Linked DNA regions of Saccharomyces cerevisiae S288C. Changing the gene in region 1 together with any one later gene gives a genetic interaction. Each region holds a gene or a part of one and is shown in the gene's direction. Other genes may lie near its edges. The genes, in order: PAU5, YAR068W and YDL129W.

Region 1 (6,606 bases):
GATATATATATACATATAACGTATATTTATATATATACGGTTTTGTTCGATTGTCTCTGTCGTACCATCAAAGAACATACTAACAGTTCACAATGTTAAGAATCAGATCACTCCTAAATAATAAGCGTGCCTTTTCGTCCACAGTCAGGACATTGACCATTAACAAGTCACATGATGTAGTCATCATCGGTGGTGGCCCTGCTGGTTACGTGGCTGCTATCAAAGCTGCTCAATTGGGATTTAACACTGCATGTGTAGAAAAAAGAGGCAAATTAGGCGGTACCTGTCTTAACGTTGGATGTATCCCCTCCAAAGCACTTCTAAATAATTCTCATTTATTCCACCAAATGCATACGGAAGCGCAAAAGAGAGGTATTGACGTCAACGGTGATATCAAAATTAACGTAGCAAACTTCCAAAAGGCTAAGGATGACGCTGTTAAGCAATTAACTGGAGGTATTGAGCTTCTGTTCAAGAAAAATAAGGTCACCTATTATAAAGGTAATGGTTCATTCGAAGACGAAACGAAGATCAGAGTAACTCCCGTTGATGGGTTGGAAGGCACTGTCAAGGAAGACCACATACTAGATGTTAAGAACATCATAGTCGCCACGGGCTCTGAAGTTACACCCTTCCCCGGTATTGAAATAGATGAGGAAAAAATTGTCTCTTCAACAGGTGCTCTTTCGTTAAAGGAAATTCCCAAAAGATTAACCATCATTGGTGGAGGAATCATCGGATTGGAAATGGGTTCAGTTTACTCTAGATTAGGCTCCAAGGTTACTGTAGTAGAATTTCAACCTCAAATTGGTGCATCTATGGACGGCGAGGTTGCCAAAGCCACCCAAAAGTTCTTGAAAAAGCAAGGTTTGGACTTCAAATTAAGCACCAAAGTTATTTCTGCAAAGAGAAACGACGACAAGAACGTCGTCGAAATTGTTGTAGAAGATACTAAAACGAATAAGCAAGAAAATTTGGAAGCTGAAGTTTTGCTGGTTGCTGTTGGTAGAAGACCTTACATTGCTGGCTTAGGGGCTGAAAAGATTGGATTAGAAGTAGACAAAAGGGGACGCCTAGTCATTGATGACCAATTTAATTCCAAGTTCCCACACATTAAAGTGGTAGGAGATGTTACATTTGGTCCAATGCTGGCTCACAAAGCCGAAGAGGAAGGTATTGCAGCTGTCGAAATGTTGAAAACTGGTCACGGTCATGTCAACTATAACAACATTCCTTCGGTCATGTATTCTCACCCAGAAGTAGCATGGGTTGGTAAAACCGAAGAGCAATTGAAAGAAGCCGGCATTGACTATAAAATTGGTAAGTTCCCCTTTGCGGCCAATTCAAGAGCCAAGACCAACCAAGACACTGAAGGTTTCGTGAAGATTTTGATCGATTCCAAGACCGAGCGTATTTTGGGGGCTCACATTATCGGTCCAAATGCCGGTGAAATGATTGCTGAAGCTGGCTTAGCCTTAGAATATGGCGCTTCCGCAGAAGATGTTGCTAGGGTCTGCCATGCTCATCCTACTTTGTCCGAAGCATTTAAGGAAGCTAACATGGCTGCCTATGATAAAGCTATTCATTGTTGAAAACAGGAAATAATAAACAGTATAGTATATATATTTATGAAGAACCGCTTAGTATTGAGTAAGTAAAAAAAAATTGCACAAGGAATTAATATATGAGGAAACTACTAGTCGATCAGATAAGATATTATGACCAGATATGCAAAAAAAAGGGGGCGAGCTGGGAATTGAACCCAGGGCCTCTCGCATGCTTTGTCTTCCTGTTTATTCAGGAAGTCGCCCAAAGCGAGAATCATACCACTAGACCACACGCCCGAATTATTGTTGCGTTAATAAGAAAAACAGAAATATTTATATAGGAGAGTGATTAAAGGGAATCTTCTATCAACAATATCCATTCAAATTCAGGCGCATAACGTGAGTGAATATAGAATTGAGCCTCCTATTAGTCTTCCCGATTTCATTCGAGAAACATATCAGGATTAACCTGTACATTATGGTGTCTGTATTACTATTTTACATGTTCACGTTTATTTCTTGCTCATATATTCATATGGATGACCACTACGTTTGCTACCATTAAGTCTAATTATTTCAGCAACCAATATTCCATGTAAGTGTATAGCTAGTGGATATTAGACAACGGCTGCCACATGGTTAAGTCTTTTGCTCACCAGGACTACCGGTAAGAATCTGTTCCTTGTAACTCATTGCAAGGAGATTTTAGTTGCTCCCAATTATATTTTTTGAAGCACTAGCAGGGCAATGATTTTTCTTCTCGTAAGTACATGAATTATGAAATACTTTTTGGGATTTCGTTGTTGTCAAAGGCTATAAAATTTAGTATACAAAGTATACCAGAAAGTTTCCTCGAGGATATAGAAATTCACAAAAGGAAATCGATATTTCTATGTAATAATATAATTAAATTTCCTTCCATCTCATATCCTGTCATTAATTATTCCATTACAACATCATTCCCCTGAATTTCAGCTTCCACTACACCTGAGACTATCTCTCAAACGTTACGCCATATTCTCACACCCATATTATAATATAGTAGTAATATGAATACTAATCGGTAGATGATAGTTGAACTTTATTCAAATATCATCGAAGTAAGAAGATATACTACTAAAGACTCCCTTTGCTCTATATTCGAGTCAGGCTCCACCAGTCATTTCGAAATTAACCAGTTACAGGTCAAAAGACTAAACTTACTGCAAAACCAATTTGCTTCTGTTTTCACTTCTTTCCACCCCAAAGATAATACAAAGGGCATACATATCAATTTTTTTTCACCTGTCACTAGGATAACTGACCTTCAATATTCCTTTTTTTATACGAATCAGATACTGTTCGGTACACGATATCTAATTAAAATGATTCAAAACTTTGTAACAGGTAAAGTTTTCACTAGAACCAATCAATCCAAGTGAATTAGGGGAAACCATAGTTGTTGATTTGTAGAAACCTCACATTGTACATTGTTGGTTTGTTGGGCATATCAGAACGAGAGATTTTCCAACATTCAATATACACTAAACCCTATGACGAGTCCCACAGATGGCGTAAGGTTTTTATGATTTCAGCAGGGTACGACGACTAGTACCATATTAACATTTTTTAGTGTTTCTAATTTGGGAAAAGGTCCGTGTTTTTTCTCCTAGCAACCGTTTAGTGCCAAGGGTTAGGCAATTGAACGAGGCCAAGACAATATTGGCTTTGCTTCTATTACTTGGCTAACATTGTGTCTGCAGGTCGAAAGGCACCTTTACTGTAAGGAACATTCTTGCGCTCTAAACATACGAAGATATGGGGAATATGAAGCGTGTTTCTTATACGAAGTGCAGCATCGTTCAAGGAAAATACACCCCCATAGTAATAATGGCTAAGTGGCCAGGAATTAGAATATGTGAGATATGAGTGCAAAATGAGTGACCAGTAATAGCCTGTTTGGGATGTAATTGCTCAAAAAATTTATATAAATACAGCGGTTTGATCAGCTTTGTTTGAGACATTTCTCTGTTCTTTTCCTTCCAGTTAAGCTTATATCTCCACTAAGCAACAACCCAAAAAACAACAAATACAATGGTCAAATTAACTTCAATCGCCGCTGGTGTCGCCGCCATTGCCGCTGGTGCCTCCGCTGCAGCAACCACTACACTATCTCAATCTGACGAAAGAGTTAATTTGGTTGAATTAGGTGTCTATGTTTCCGATATCAGAGCTCATTTGGCTGAATACTACTCCTTCCAAGCTGCCCACCCAACTGAAACTTATCCAGTTGAAATTGCAGAAGCTGTTTTCAACTACGGTGATTTCACCACCATGTTGACTGGTATTCCCGCCGACCAAGTTACCAGAGTTATCACTGGTGTTCCATGGTACTCTAGCAGATTAAAGCCAGCTATCTCTAGCGCTCTATCCGCAGACGGTATCTACACTATTGCAAATTAGAGATAGATTCCCTTAGGGATAAAATGTGATACGAATTAGAGAATAACGAAAAATATACAATTTTTTTTTTTTTTTTTGATATAGAAATAGTTAAAATACATTCAAATGTATACCGATATTATAAGCTTTCTCGATTAGTTTCGGTGCTTTTTTGAAGCCGTAAGTAATATGCAAATTTGTTATGACTTCTTTTCTATTCTTGCAGCAAATGTTGGGATTTAACTTCCAACTGGTGCCGTGCCATTTTTATTATTAACTTTAATAATGTTCTATTGTATTGGGACGGAAAAAGCTTATTTCTTAAATTGGAGCAAGAATCTCGGAGTTCGGTGCCTATCCGAAGGTTCGCCCTGACGAAATACACTAGGCAGGAAAGTTTTCTCACAACAAGAATTAGAAACGATATTAAGCCTGGTTCAGTTTACACATCAGACATACTCGATGAGTTAATACAAAAAAAAAAATTGCAGGTGCTTTATAAAGTAAAATAACATCGTGGAATGCAAGTTATTTTTTAGTCATCCACAATTGCTGCAGTGGTATTATGAGGCAGGATTTTTTTGACACCACAATTATGGTATTTTCGTGAGCAAACCCAACTTTTGGTATATGTCTAGATGCAGAGAGTGCCGTAATCCTTTTTCTCGTCTCCTTTTTCTTAGCACACTACTTTTTGATGTGGAAATATAAGTTATGCAAGAGAAAAAACAGAAGGGCTTTACAAAATTATCCTCCTTCCGATTCTGAAGGTGGGCTCTCTAAAGTATCTAAAATCGTAGGGGAGTACTGCTACTACCATCACTGACATTTGGGGCTTATTCTTTTCTGAAAATTCAAGATTTTTCAGACACGACCAAACAATTAGTACGCACCGACTACTGCAGTTATTTATCTGTCAAGCCACAGAAGTTTCTTCCTTCCTTTTGTGTGGATATTGCGGTACACAGCGGGAAACTCCTTAGTGTTCATAAAGAAATACGATCATATGTAGTATACAACCTGTAATTACTTCTTGTGGAGAGAGATAGTTTTTTTACTTTATTTTGTGACCGGCTGTGATTTCAAACAGTAAGCCAACTTCCAGAGAAATGCCTTGTTATTAAGGAAATACCCATCCGTTGGAGCGCACCGTCGGAAAAGTAGCAAATTGCATCAACATGATGCAAAAAGTCGAAATAACAAGGTCCCGCTTTTACACATCACAAAATGATGCCATTCAGATCCAGATCTTTCTGCCTGATGAAAGAAAATCCTTGCCATTGTCTTGTTTTGACGAGGTATTCCCAGAACACATCATTGTTCGTACTCGCGGCTTCCATTTTATTATTTTTGAAAAATGCTGCCAAATAAAGAAGCAAAAAAAAAAGGATGTTCAGGTCTCGGTTGCTCTTACTGAGCTTCTAGTGACGTCATATAAGACTCAAATAAAGTAATTGCCTAGGATAACTGGTTTAGTTCTCTTTTAAATTTGGGAGGGCCATTCCTGTGTGTGAGCCCTGCGCCTTTCAACTATTCTGTCACCGCCGCAATAGATGTTGGGTCACATGGAAGCATAACGCACACTGAGCTTTTGATAAATGTTGCACTTTTTTTGTTATTTTTTTTTTTTTTTTATGAAATAAATATAGTGTTCTTCTTTTTATTCTATGTATACATAGAGTTTGATTAGTATGTGTATATATATATGAAGCGGACATGGAAAGAAGCGAGTACTTTTTTTTTTTTGGGGGATCTATAAATTCAGATTCAACCAATCCAGGCTCAGATTGCCATTTGGAGTGGTGTTCATGTTTGAGTTTGGATTTGTGTCTCCAGAATGATGATCTATTGCGGAGTCCAAAGGCTTCCAGAAGGCTTCATTGTTGAAGGAGGAGGTTGAGGCGTTGTGAAGGTTCATGTTCATAGTCATATTCATATCAGGCCGAAAGCTGGAGAACGTTTCCGCCTCGATGGGTACGGAACTCGAAAGGTGGTGGCGAGTGTTAGAGCGGAGGTATTGTGGGATGGAAGGTGAGGCAATCTTCGGAATGGGTATGTCCTGAGACTTCAAAGGTGCGACAATGTTCAGTGAGTTCTTCCTCTTGGACGCTGCCACACTTGCTGTATAGTTTTTCTTTTTCCCTGCTGCTCCCGGATTGAGAGACGACGATGGAGGGGGCGTTATATTGTTGTTTATCTTGGTAGACGACCTCTGTCTCTTCTTAATGATGTCAGTCTTCAACGACAGAGGCCTTGTGACGCCGTGGAGCTTGAGGAAGAGGCCGCAAGCATTGCACAGGGGAAGACCCTTGGGGTCCTTCCTCCACAGCGGAGTGGTGGAGGTTGTGCAGTTGGAGCATTTTATATCCGGATTGGATGAGGTGTTCGAAGGCGGAGTAGCCGAAGATTGCACAGAAGTGGAAGACTTGATCTTCTTCAAAGCAGGTTTCTTCTTCCTCACGGAGGAATTTCTTCGCGAGCCAGGCTTCACTATAGATGGGGAGGGGTTTCTTCTCAGTAAAGGACTATTGGTGTTTGTACTTGCACTTGTGTTTGTGTTTGTGTTTGCGTTTGTATTATTGGCGATGCTGGGACTGTTATTATTATGACTACTATTATGACTATGATTATTATTAAT
Region 2 (6,722 bases), on another chromosome or scaffold:
ATGCTTATGGAAACTGGGGATGCAGAGGTCATAGTGAATGTTCAAAATAGCCAAGAAAGACCTATTGGAGTACTGATTTACTTGGTTTCTTACTATCCCAAAAAACGCTACTCTAGAAATGACAGGTTACTTTTTACCACCACAAACAAGTTCTTACACGTTCAGGTTTGCTAAGGTCGATGACTCTGCAATTCTATCAGTCGGTGGTAACGTTGCGTTCGAATGTTGTGCACAAGAACAACCTCCAATTACATCGACGGATTTTACAATCAATGGTATTAAGCCATGGCAAGGAAGTTTGCCTGATAACATCGGAGGGACTGTCTACATGTATGCAGGCTACTATTATCCGCTGAAGGTTGTTTACTCCAATGCCGTTTCCTGGGGCACGCTTCCAATTAGCGTGGAATTGCCTGATGGTACTACTGTTAGTGATGACTTTGAAGGGTACGTTTACTCTTTTGACGATGATTTAAGTCAGTCAAATTGTACTATCCCTGATCCTTCAAAACATACTACTAGCATCGTCACAACTACTACCGAACTGTGGACTGGTACTTTTACTTCTACATCTACTGAAATGACCACCGTCACCGGTACTAATGGTCAACCAACTGACGAAACCGTTATTGTTGCCAAAGCTCCAACCACTGCCACCTCATCCAGTTTGTCATCATCTTCTTCAGAACAAATCACCAGCTCTATCACGTCTTAGCATCCAATTATTACTCCATTCTATCGCAGCAATGGAACTTCTGTAGTTTCTTCCTCAGTCATGTCTTCCTCGGTCATTTCTTCTTCTGCAACGACCTCCACTTCTATATTCTCTGAATCATCTAAATCATCCGTCATTCAAACCAGTAGTTCCACCTCTGGTTCTTCTGAGAGCGAAACAATCTTAGTGATTGCTGGCATGTCATTAGCGACAAGACGCTTATTACCGTAGTAGCCCCCCAAGGCAAACATCTCTTTATCAGTAATATCCAAAGCTGTTCAACTTCTCGAATTGGCCCAGGAAAAGAGCATTGGGGCGGCAACTAACTCTGGCATACTTACAGTTTCTGCTCTTGACAGCGCTAAAAAAGGGCTTGTTTTGTAATGCCCGGTTCGCAATTCTACAAGTACCACGCACTAGCTGCTAAAAGTGTCTAACCTTGCGAACAAATCTGGACTTTCTTATGAGAATCCCATCGTCAAGAAACAAAATTATACAGACAGGCGTAAATGTAGCTCGTAAGCGCCTGATCAAGTAAGCCAAATGCGCTAACTTGAGGAAATATAGCCATCTAAATCTCTGCAACATGCCAATTCGCACGTGACTTGAAACTATGGAAAGTGTCTAGAAGATTACCAAGAACCACGTTATTTGAGAGAGGATGGCAAGGTGACGACAATCACACCAAGACCACATTTTGGGTGCGCCTGGAAGCAAGACCTGAGAAACTGGGCCAAAATATTCAAACCAAGCATAAGATAGTTGGAGGTAGGAATACACTATCTAATCTGTGCTGATGAAATGCTGGCGAAAACGGGCGATGTAGTGGTACAGAAGGTGCCGGTTATCCGTTTGTCCGTTTTTCTTCATTTTTTTTTTGTTTTTCCCTTTTGTCTTTTGCACCGCTTATATATGGGTATGAAACAAGTTCAAGAATTTATAATGGAACCCAAAGGTTCAGTCTTTGTAGTTCGAGCGACATTGCGCGTTTCCTTAGAAAACGCTGGAAAGATATTCTTTAACGAGACGGAGTAATTCTCGTCAGGAATAGGATGTTGATTGATTTTTGCTGTAGTTATATAGCAGGGACCCACGGAAGAGAGCGAGCGCCTTCTTTCACAGGGACTTTTGTCAGCCACGTCTCCGGGGAAAACAATTGCCGTCCGCGTCGCAGTGAGATTACGCAGCCGTGCGCTTCAGGGACAGAAAAGAAGCATTTCGCGGCTACGGAGAAACCGTGCACTAACTCTCTCGAGGGTAGCCGCAAAGATTTCTTGTCTCTTCCATTAGGACATAGCTATCTTTTTCTTTTCTGTTTTTGGCGTATGATCTGTTCTGAGCCAAAGTTATAGATCATTGCTTGAATAAGCACCTCACAGAGTAGGGATTGTATAGAAAGTAGCTGAGCGTCTGCCCACGTAACAAACAATCTTGCCCCTTCCCCGCTCTTGTTTTCGCGTGCCTCTTCTACAATAATCTGGCCAGGCTGAATCGCGTTCTGCTGCTGCTGCTGCTATTGTTATTGTTGTTGTTGTTGTTTTGGCCAATTGCTTATGTGTTGGTCTGCAAATTAGCACCTCGTTCCCTGTTGGCAAACGCGCGCGTACAAGCCTTACAGGGCTTGAGAATGTTCTTCGTAGAAATGCATGCACAAAAATTCTGATCTAGCACACCATCGGTCTCTGTAGCTTCGGGCTCTATAGCTATGGGTTAGGAGTCCGTGAGTAGTAACAAGAAGAAGTATATAAAAAGCAGGTAAATCGTACTTCAATATGCTTCATTGTCACTGGATCGTCATATTCACTCTTGTTCTCATAATAGCAGTCCAAGTTTTCATCTTTGCAAGCTTTACTATTTCTTTCTTTTTATTGGTAAACTCTCGCCCATTACAAAAAAAAAAGAGATGTTCAATCGTTTTAACAAATTCCAAGCTGCTGTCGCTTTGGCCCTACTCTCTCGCGGCGCTCTCGGTGACTCTTACACCAATAGCACCTCCTCCGCAGACTTGAGTTCTATCACTTCCGTCTCGTCAGCTAGTGCAAGTGCCACCGCTTCCGACTCACTTTCTTCCAGTGACGGTACCGTTTATTTGCCATCCACAACAATTAGCGGTGATCTCACAGTTACTGGTAAAGTAATTGCAACCGAGGCCGTGGAAGTCGCTGCCGGTGGTAAGTTGACTTTACTTGACGGTGAAAAATACGTCTTCTCATCTGATCTAAAAGTTCACGGTGATTTGGTTGTCGAAAAGTCTGAAGCAAGCTACGAAGGTACCGCGTTCGACGTTTCTGGTGAGACTTTTGAAGTTTCCGGTAACTTCAGTGCTGAAGAAACTGGCGCTGTCTCCGCATCTATCTATTCATTCACACCTAGCTCGTTCAAGAGCAGCGGTGACATTTCTTTGAGTTTGTCAAAGGCCAAGAAGGGTGAAGTCACCTTTTCTCCATACTCTAACGCTGGTACCTTTTCTTTGTCAAATGCTATTCTCAACGGTGGTTCTGTTTCCGGTTTGTAACGTAGAGACGACGATGAAGGCTCTGTAAATAACGGTGAAATCAACCTAGACAATGGAAGTACCTATGTTATCGTTGAACCAGTTTCTGGAAACGGTACAATCAACATCGTCTCTGGTAACCTATACTTGCACTACCCTGACACCTTTACTGGCCAAACTGTTGTATTCAAGGGTGAAGGTGTTCTTGCCGTTGACCCAACCGAAACCAACGCCACTCCTATTCCTGTTGTTGGCTACACCGGTAAGAACCAAATTGCCATTACCGCCGACATCACTGCTCTTTCTTACGACGGTACTACTGGTGTCTTAACTGCAACCCAAGGTAACAGACAATTCTCTTTTGAAATTGGTACTGGATTCTCTAGTTCTGGCTTCAGTGTCTCCGAAGGAATCTTCGCAGGCGCCTACTCATATTACCTAAACTATGACGGTGTCATCGCTACAAGCGCCGCATCCACATCCGCATCCACTACCTCTGGTGTTGTCTCTACTGCCACTGGTTCAGTCACTTTATCCTCTAACGCTTCTACCACCGTCTCTTCTACGATCTCTTCTAGCGCCCCAGACTCAATAATTCCTTCATCTAGCGCCTCTATCTCTGGTGTCTCAAACTCCACTACAGCATCTGGTTCAATCGCTTCTACTGCTTCCACCGCTTCCACTACTTCTACTGCATCCGCTGCATCCGCCACCAGCTTCACCTCAGGTTCCGCTTCTGTCTACACTACTACATTAACTTACTTGAATGCCACAAGTACAGTCGTGGTTTCCTGTTCAGAAACAACCGACGCTAGCGGTAACATTTACACCATTACCACAACTGTCCCATGCTCATCTACCACTGCCACCATCACATCTTGTGACGAAAACGGATGCCATGTTCCAGCACCAACTGCTACCGACGCAACTGCAACCGTTTCCTCCAAGTCATACACCACTGTTACTGTTACTCACTGTGACAACAATGGCTGTAACACCAAGACTGTCACTTCTGAATGTTCTAAAGAAACTGCAGCAACCACCATTTCTCCAAAATCATACACTACTGTTACCGTTACTCACTGTGACGACAACGGCTGTAACACCAAGACTGTCACTTCCGAGGCTTCCAAACAAACATCATTGGCCACTAGCACAGTCACCAAGTCTGCTGCTCCAACTTCTCATACTGCTGCTTCCAGCACCTTCACTGGTATTGTCGTTCAATCCGAAGGTATGGCTGCTGGTTTGAGAACCAATGCTTTAAGTACTTTGGCAGGTATTTTCATCCTTGCTTTTTTTTAAAATGAGTGCGTAACCGTACTTTCCTAAAAATAACTAAGTAGAAAGTATTTTAATATATAAACGTCAGTGTAAACATTCAAGTGATTTTAACTTTACGCGGTTGAAGAATGCTGTGTTCGAACTATAAAGCGTCAGAAAAGATGGTTTAGCGAAGGCACCATTATGAAGATAGACACATTCTTCTTTTTTTTTTTTTTTTTTTTTTTTTTTTTTTTTTTTCATTTACTTTTATTTCGCGCGGTCGGTAAATTTTTCGTGGGTTTCTTTGAATCTATTAGCCGACATAAGAATAATGCATAAATAATATTTTTAATGTCTTCCTATGCCCAAAAGAAGAAGTCTTGAAGTTGCCGCACATGGAAATCACATGACCATGGCTTGGCCCTTCGTTTTAAATGCAACATGCAATATGGAATGTGTCATGAATACTATCAGCAGGAACAGAAAGCGTCGTTTTGTTTCTGCAAATGCTGTAGTTTTGGGCCGAAAATAGATGTAGTAGAATATATAGTGAAACGTGATGTACAAAAGAAAAAGGTAGTTTAAAAAAAATTAGATAACTTGGATTTTTACCCTGAATATTGCATGTGATTCGTAAAGAACTGAGTTACCTCAAACGGACCTCCCTTTTCATTTCGTATTCCGCGAATCATGAAGTCATGCAATTACCTCTGAAGAGCTGACTGTCCCAAAAGAAGCTATCGAATCTGTCCTTGATTTATTTAAGCCTTGCGTTTCGAGAAAGTGAAAACCAATTGAATACAAAATAAAAAAAAAGAAGAAAGAAATAGCAGGTCTAAGATATATAAGAAAGTTAATATCATTTTTGAACATTTTATTTTAGACGCCTTCAGCCGCGCGACGCCCGGAGTAATCATATGCCCATGACTTTACCAAAAGGCAACAGGGAGGAACATGCATTAATGTGAAGCATCACTGCTGCAATTCTCGGTGTTGCTAATAATTCATGGATCGAGAAAGAGACATAACATTTAGGCCAATTTTTTGAATAAATATGAACTCAGCTAAGACTCGACAATACAATTTTCTTATACTAAACGTAGATTTATAAAATAAACACAACTGTAAGGGCAATGCAACCGTAGATGCATATATCATTTATAGAAATTATATCCAACAGAAAGCTCAGACTTATATCCGGTTTAAGAGAGAAATTCTTGCTCATATTACCCCAAGACCAGGTGGCGTGTTGAAGTTTATAACATATAAGAACTACTACCTCATGAATTCTAGTGGATGAAAGAAGCAGCACGAACACCATTTCTACAGACAACGACACATGGAAAGGTTCACCATTCCCAAAGAAAACAACGATGGCCACAAGGGTGTGGTCCTCCATTCTCCTACTGTTGGAAGGAGATATTATCCGACCGACTGTTTTGTGATATGGCAAACTATTTTTTTAAATGAGCAAAATTACTTCTTTTGGCTGGAAATGTCATTAGAAAGTGCCCAAGTGACATTTAGCTAAACTCGGGTATTGTCTACAAGACCGGTGCTGTGACCGTTTCCAATACGGAAAGAAACGGTACTGGGAGCAGGAGTTGCTTTTACAGATATGAACAATGCCAATAGAGCCGCACATGTAATTACTGGTTCACACTCGTGGGGCCCACACGATTCCTGTGCAAAGTTTGACAAGAGGATGGAGTTTCACGTAAATGCTGCCAAAGGTGATGCGGTTTTGTTTTTGGGCAGCCTCTACCATGTTGCAAGTGCGAACCATACTGTGGCCACATAGATTACAAAAAAAGTCCAGGATATCTTGCAAACCTAGCTTGTTTTGTAAACGACATTGAAAAAAGCGTATTAAGGTGAAACAATCAAGATTATCTATGCCGATGAAAAATGAAAGGTATGATTTCTGCCACAAATATATAGTAGTTATTTTATACATCAAGATGAGAAAATAAAGGGATTTTTTCGTTCTTTTATCATTTTCTCTTTCTCACTTCCGACTACTTCTTATATCTACTTTCATCGTTTCATTCATCGTGGGTGTCTAATAAAGTTTTAATGACAGAGATAACCTTGATAAGCTTTTTCTTATACGCTGTGTCACGTATTTATTAAATTACCACGTTTTCGCATAACATTCTGTAGTTCATGTGTACTAAAAAAAAAAAAAAAAAAGAAATAGGAAGGAAAGAGTAAAAAGTTAATAGAAAACAGAACACATCCCTAAAC
Region 3 (7,401 bases), on another chromosome or scaffold:
TCTTGAGAATCTCATAGTATGAAGATATGGCACTTCTCTTTCCGTTGTAACATCCTTTACCGGGCGGCTTTTCGGCCTGCTTGAGAAGAGATCAGGCTGAAATGATGAGACTGACAACAAGGATCAGTCAGTGGCAGAGTTGAAATTCCGCTGGAAATCGTCACCAGCAGCTACCAGCTCCAAGAAATCCGCGTAGAAATCACGTCGCGCAATGTGCGATAGTGGTGGAACAGCGAAAATTAGTCACTTTGCAAAGATGCCAAGCTGATCGTTCTCGTTGTGTGTGATTCTACGATATTGCGCATGAGTGGTGTTGAGCATGCGTTTGTTCGCATTTTCATGCAGTCTCTTATATACTAATATATATATGCAACAGATTTCAAAATTTATCTTTCTTCTTGTTGCGTTTAGGCCTTTATTTGCTACACATTTAAAAGTGCAACGACAACCCAAGTAATTGTATACTTTAACAAACCATGTCTGAAAATAACGAATTCCAGAGTGTCACCGAATCGACGACTGCTCCAACCACTAGTAACCCATATGGCCCAAATCCTGCGGATTATCTATCCAATGTTAAGAATTTCCAGTTGATTGATTCAACACTAAGAGAGGGTGAACAATTTGCCAACGCATTCTTCGATACTGAAAAAAAGATTGAAATTGCTAGAGCCTTGGATGATTTCGGTGTGGACTACATCGAGTTAACCTCTCCCGTAGCATCCGAACAATCAAGAAAGGACTGTGAAGCTATATGTAAACTAGGTTTAAAGGCCAAGATCCTTACACACATTCGTTGTCACATGGACGATGCCAGAGTCGCCGTAGAGACTGGTGTCGACGGTGTCGATGTTGTTATCGGCACCTCCAAATTTTTAAGACAATATTCCCACGGTAAGGATATGAACTACATCGCCAAGAGTGCTGTTGAAGTCATTGAATTTGTCAAATCCAAAGGTATTGAAATCAGATTTTCCTCTGAAGATTCCTTCAGAAGTGATCTCGTTGATCTTTTGAACATTTATAAAACCGTTGACAAGATCGGTGTAAATAGAGTCGGTATTGCCGACACAGTTGGATGTGCCAACCCAAGACAAGTATATGAACTGATCAGAACTTTGAAGAGTGTTGTCTCATGTGACATCGAATGCCATTTCCACAATGATACCGGTTGTGCCATTGCAAACGCCTACACTGCTTTGGAAGGTGGTGCCAGATTGATTGACGTCAGTGTACTGGGTATTGGTGAAAGAAACGGTATCACTCCTCTAGGTGGGCTCATGGCAAGAATGATTGTTGCCGCACCAGACTATGTCAGATCTAAATACAAGCTGCACAAGATCAGAGACATCGAAAACCTGGTCGCTGATGCTGTGGAAGTTAACATTCCATTCAACAACCCTATCACCGGGTTCTGTGCATTCACACATAAAGCAGGTATCCATGCCAAGGCCATTTTGGCTAACCCATCTACCTACGAAATCTTGGACCCTCACGATTTCGGTATGAAGAGATATATCCACTTCGCCAACAGACTAACTGGTTGGAATGCAATCAAATCAAGAGTCGACCAATTGAACTTGAATTTGACGGATGATCAAATCAAGGAAGTTACTGCTAAGATTAAGAAGCTGGGTGATGTCAGACCGCTAAATATTGATGATGTAGACTCCATTATCAAGGACTTCCATGCAGAATTGAGCACCCCACTTTTAAAACCAGTAAATAAGGGTACAGATGACGACAATATCGATATTTCCAATGGGCATGTTTCTAAAAAGGCAAAGGTCACCAAATAGTTTCATTATATATATAGTACACATATTTCAAACATACACATACTGGGCGTTATTAGGTGTTTAAGTACTGGCGATTACCGTAATAAAATTACTATTTACGTCAACTTTATTCAATAAGCTTTTTCTCCTACTCCGATGTTCAATTGAGGCGGTTGCATCTAGCTTGAAGACGGGGTATTTTAATCAATTAATTGAGATCAATGAATATTGACTCTGTGCGATTCCCCACGCTATTATACTCTCACGGAGTATTTCCGTTATGATAATGATCACTATATACGTCAAATGATCGGTTTCTATTTGCTAACTATTTCAAGCATCATTATTATCTTTTAGGGGGCGGCTGGGGAATTATTTATTATATTTAGTTCAGTCGTTCATAAGAAAATTGAGCTCTCCATTGTAGATATTAAGAAGCACTTTCACCCAGTCATCCAACCAAACACGCTATCAATATGTTAAACCGTTGCATTTCCCGTAATACCAGGCTGCCAGTAAACCTAAGAATTGCCTCTCGCTTTTATTCAGATGGTCCTCTCGGTGGTGCCGGACCTGGTAATCCTCAAGATATCTTTATCAAGAGAGAACGTGCCAAAGAGGATTATTATGCCAGACAACAAGAGAGGGAACAATTAGCACATGTGAAGGAACAACTAAAAGAACACAAGAAAAAATTAGAGAATTTAGAAAACAAAATTAATAACCTTTCAAAGTGATTGGTCATTGTTAAGGCTAAAGGTTCTGCAGACACGTTTTGTACGTAGAAAGAAGCAATCATGCCAAATCAAAATTAGGAAATGAACATCAGTGGTATTTTATAAGCCTGCACATTATATATAGTATATACGTCACGAATACAGGAACACCGTCAGTTAGAGAAACGTCGCCTCAGTTTGCTCCTCAGATATTCCTTTAAACCCATACATATCTTACACAAAACATCCGTACATCAGAAGGATTATATGAAACGCAAAAAAAAATAAAATTTTCATTTCTGCGTGTCGCGCGAAGGAGAAATCTTAGAATTGAAACTTCCGGCTAACGGTTGCTAAAACTAGTTTCCAATGTAATACCAAATAAGCATTTGATGTTGAATCTGTAAGCCCCTTCGTGATATTTCAAGGTTAAATTACGAATTGCAGTTTCAGTTAATCTTGGACTAACAAAGAAATCAAACAACTAAGAAGAAAATGTCTGACTCTATTATTTCCTTTGCTGCTTTCATCCTAGCTGATGCTGGTTTGGAAATCACCTCTGACAACTTATTGACTATCACCAAGGCCGCTGGTGCTAATGTCGACAACGTATGTACAAAAATGCAACCTAAAACGACTTTGTGTGACTACGAAGAGAAAGATTAGACAACAATCGTCCCGAGAAATGCGCAATTTTGAATAATGGGGGACAGAAAAATTCCATGTAACGTTTCCCTCTAACATGATGAGATACTAGGGGGCAATACATGTAGAAATATTTCTCCATTAACGTATTTAACGGAAAGCACAAGTCAGGATCGAATTACTTCTTCAAGGATCTCATTTTACTAACAAACTCAACGAATAACGACTCTTCCTATGGAGCTTGTTATATGTATCATTGAATTAGGTCTGGGCTGATGTTTACGCTAAGGCTTTGGAAGGTAAGGACTTGAAGGAAATCCTATCTGGTTTCCATAACGCTGGCCCTGTTGCTGGTGCTGGTGCTGCTTCTGGCGCTGCCGCTGCTGGTGGTGACGCTGCTGCTGAAGAAGAAAAAGAAGAAGAAGCTGCTGAAGAATCTGACGACGACATGGGTTTCGGTTTATTCGACTAAACATACAAGGAAAGTCATTTTTTCTGCAACGTTTTTTTACCCTTTATGTATATATATTTACATATAAAATAAACCTCTAATCAATCAGTATTTAAAAATCGGAAGTAATGTCCATACGAAAGGGCTACGAGAATTTAACCATCTCGTTCTTTGCTAGAAATGGCACTGCGGGATAGCCCCTGGTTGCGGGATATCAGACCTGTCGTCACCATAGCAACCAAAAATTACATAAACCCATGGTTGCTCGCCCTTTGATGGCGACGCCGACCGAAGCTTCTCCCGCGCACATTTTTAAAATTTTTACTCATCGGGAATGAAAGGTTCTTTGACACATGTAAAGCTCCCTAAGTTGGACATACGTCGGTCCTTACAGGCTTAGCAATACACCTATAAGGCACTAGAAACGTATAAAATTTGAGCACTTTAGTTTCTCATCCCTTTTGATACGAAACGCGGGCAAGGCTACGGCATACAGGAATTTAACATTTTGTTGGCTATGGAGCTAAGAAGTAGACGGAGCGCAGAGGCCTATCTTGTCACGCCTGAGGAACCTGCCAAGAATAAGAGTGAACGGAGCATAGAATCCAATGAGAGGGTCGGCACGAGGGAAGCAAAGAGCGAGAACACAAGTGTATTTAGTCCCGCTTACTCTGATACCGCTACTACAGATTCATCGAAGAAAGTTGATGACAATGAATACTACAATTTTACTAGTCACTTCATGCCATCTTTGAAAAACACCAGAGAACTAGAAAACACAATTCTCAATCTCATACAGAGGATAAAGGAAGGGGATGATGAAACGTTAGTTAGTGAGAAAGATCTCATATTAAGTGTGCTTAACAGGTCTTTAGCATCCACATCTCACTGGAAGTTACAGGCCCAGCTATCGGAGTTAAGGGCCACCTCAGAGGGAAGGTATGCAGTTGAGACAAACTTGTTGAAAAAAGAGGTAGAATTTTTAAAAAACAAGACCCCAAAAACCAACGAAAGTGCAAGTTCCGCAGAGTTGAGACCACTTCTTGAACGACCTTTAAAGCGTAAACTGTCATTGCCAGGACTAGCGCAAAGACCATTATCCACTGGCGCTAGGCTAGAAGGAGGATATGGAGGTGTATCGCCGAACTCATGGAAAACCAAAGTTCCAAAACTTCCTCTTCCTGCTTCCCGGCCGTCTTTGAATCTTTCTCCCCAAAAAGTCCCAACGGGTACTGATAAAGTTGAGGAAGATACCAAAATTGACACATTGGAATTAGTAGAGAACAATAAACCGCATCCAAGGATGAGAAGAAGGAGTGACAATCCAGCAACAAACGAATATGTGAGAGTTTTTCATTTGGAGAAAAAAGAACCTAAATCACGAAAAAAATAGTATGCTAGAAAAAAATATTATTGAACGTCAATAATTTTTCTTTCTCATGGGACCAAACACATCATTTATTCTCTAATAATATTCTATTCTCTTTATTTCTGGTTTACTCTTTTAAAATTCTCCAAAGAGAAATATCTCCTTCAATTCTTCAGTTACGAATTTATGTTTACTTTTAACCTCTATCATACACCTTTAATCTAATGCCTCCAACTGTCTGTAATTTTAGTACAACTTAAAAGGGAAATTTTCCGAAAGTGTGAAAAAATTGGATTTTTTTTTCTCCTATTGAACTCAATGGAAGCTATCAGTTTGGAGAGGGACAATTATTTTCCTTCTTGTTTTTTGCCAAGAGAACAATATTGTAGTATTTAAGTTCTAATTTAATGTTATATATACTTATCTAATAGTTTTTTTTTTTCAATTAGATTGTTTTCCTTACGACGTTAATCCCTTGTCATCCTCACTTACGAACTTCGATGAATATGACATACGTAATCGGGAATGTTTTGTAAACTAATTGACGTAGTTCCTTTTTCGTAAACTGGACTGGACGGCTTGATCAAAATTCCCGAAAAATAAAAATTTCCCTCACGAGAATATGGAAATTACTATCGCCCAGCATTATTTTATCTCCTCAGAGAGTAAAAGAAGTTTCCTCTTTCCTAAACTTAAAAAGCAGTCCTAAATATATAGTTGACTTCGACGCATATCATTCATCGGCTGCTGATAGCAAATAAAACAACATAGATACAATGGATGCAACTACCCCACTATTAACTGTTGCGAACAGTCATCCCGCCCGCAATCCAAAGCACACTGCATGGAGAGCAGCTGTGTATGATTTACAGTATATTTTGAAAGCGTCACCCCTGAATTTCCTATTGGTATTTGTTCCTTTAGGTCTGATTTGGGGACACTTCCAACTATCTCATACACTGACATTTCTTTTTAATTTCTTGGCAATTATACCGTTGGCAGCTATCTTGGCTAATGCCACGGAAGAGTTGGCTGATAAGGCTGGTAACACCATTGGGGGACTGCTAAATGCTACTTTTGGTAACGCTGTGGAACTAATTGTTTCTATCATTGCCCTGAAAAAAGGTCAAGTGAGAATTGTGCAGGCCTCGATGCTAGGTAGTCTTCTTTCTAATTTGCTGTTAGTGCTTGGATTATGCTTCATATTCGGTGGATACAATAGAGTCCAACAGACATTCAACCAAACCGCCGCTCAAACAATGTCCTCATTACTTGCCATTGCGTGTGCATCCCTACTGATTCCCGCTGCCTTTAGAGCCACCCTACCTCATGGCAAGGAAGACCACTTCATCGATGGAAAAATATTGGAGTTATCCAGAGGCACCTCTATTGTTATTCTCATCGTTTACGTTTTGTTCTTATATTTCCAGCTAGGGAGCCATCACGCCTTGTTTGAGCAACAAGAAGAAGAGACCGATGAAGTTATGAGCACCATTTCCAGGAATCCACATCACTCTTTGAGTGTCAAGTCATCATTGGTGATACTTCTAGGTACAACTGTGATCATCTCTTTTTGTGCGGATTTTCTAGTCGGTACGATAGACAACGTTGTTGAATCTACCGGGCTATCTAAAACATTTATAGGTTTGATTGTCATTCCTATTGTGGGTAATGCCGCAGAGCATGTCACTTCAGTCTTGGTGGCCATGAAGGATAAGATGGATCTGGCGCTAGGTGTTGCCATCGGTTCCTCTTTACAAGTTGCCTTATTTGTTACACCATTCATGGTTCTTGTGGGCTGGATGATCGATGTTCCAATGACGCTAAATTTCTCCACTTTTGAAACCGCTACTCTTTTTATTGCTGTTTTCTTATCCAATTACTTAATTCTCGATGGTGAGTCAAACTGGTTGGAGGGTGTCATGTCTCTAGCTATGTATATTTTGATTGCAATGGCATTTTTCTATTATCCAGACGAAAAAACCCTTGACTCTATTGGAAATAGTTTATGAGTAAGAACAGTAGCGCAGAAATTCACCATTCTCTTTTTTTTTATATTTTATCTTCTTCGTAATTCTATCGATGGACCAATACAAAGATGATTATGACTAGCAAGTCATTATTATGATCGTTATATTATACATATTATGTTTACGCAACTAATTTTTATATCGAATTTTATCTGAAAAAAAGTTTTCAAAACCAACAAAATATTTTGTACACTCTTCGAAACTCAAATTCTGCACCATTTCCATTCTGATAAAAGGTTTAATATTTCGAAGCTTCTCAACTACAGCTCGTGTTCTTCTTGCAGCACATCAGCTGCTTTGCTGCACTGTTCAGGGTAACGTTATTCATTACAACGAGAATATTTAGGAATTTTGCTCAAATTCATGGAGCTTCCTACATCATTGCACAACAGAATTTCGTTTTGTAGTATAG

The links.
Region 2: mutations in PAU5 (region 1) and YAR068W together harm fitness less than expected from each alone (positive genetic interaction), as found in Saccharomyces cerevisiae (one large-scale study listed by BioGRID).
Region 3: mutations in PAU5 (region 1) and YDL129W together harm fitness more than expected from each alone (negative genetic interaction), as found in Saccharomyces cerevisiae (one large-scale study listed by BioGRID).

The regions. Positions count from the first base shown.
Region 1 is NC_001138.5:96,614-103,219, reverse strand, and holds PAU5 (seripauperin PAU5), read left to right. Parts: upstream 1-3,620; coding exon 3,621-3,989; downstream 3,990-6,606. Other genes in the region: LPD1 (dihydrolipoyl dehydrogenase), read left to right, coding at 93-1,592; YFL019C (uncharacterized protein), read left to right, coding at 2,615-2,968; GAT1 (Gat1p), read right to left, coding at 5,722-6,606.
Region 2 is NC_001133.9:218,431-225,152, forward strand, and holds YAR068W (uncharacterized protein), read left to right. Parts: upstream 1-3,975; coding exon 3,976-4,461; downstream 4,462-6,722. Other genes in the region: YAR064W (uncharacterized protein), read left to right, coding at 1,768-2,067; YAR066W (uncharacterized protein), read left to right, coding at 2,619-3,230.
Region 3 is NC_001136.10:226,917-234,317, forward strand, and holds YDL129W (uncharacterized protein), read left to right. Parts: upstream 1-4,107; coding exon 4,108-4,983; downstream 4,984-7,401. Other genes in the region: homocitrate synthase LYS21, read left to right, coding at 477-1,799; STF1 (ATPase-binding protein), read left to right, coding at 2,255-2,515; ribosomal protein P1 RPP1B, read left to right, coding at 2,990-3,103, 3,405-3,611; VCX1 (Vcx1p), read left to right, coding at 5,736-6,971.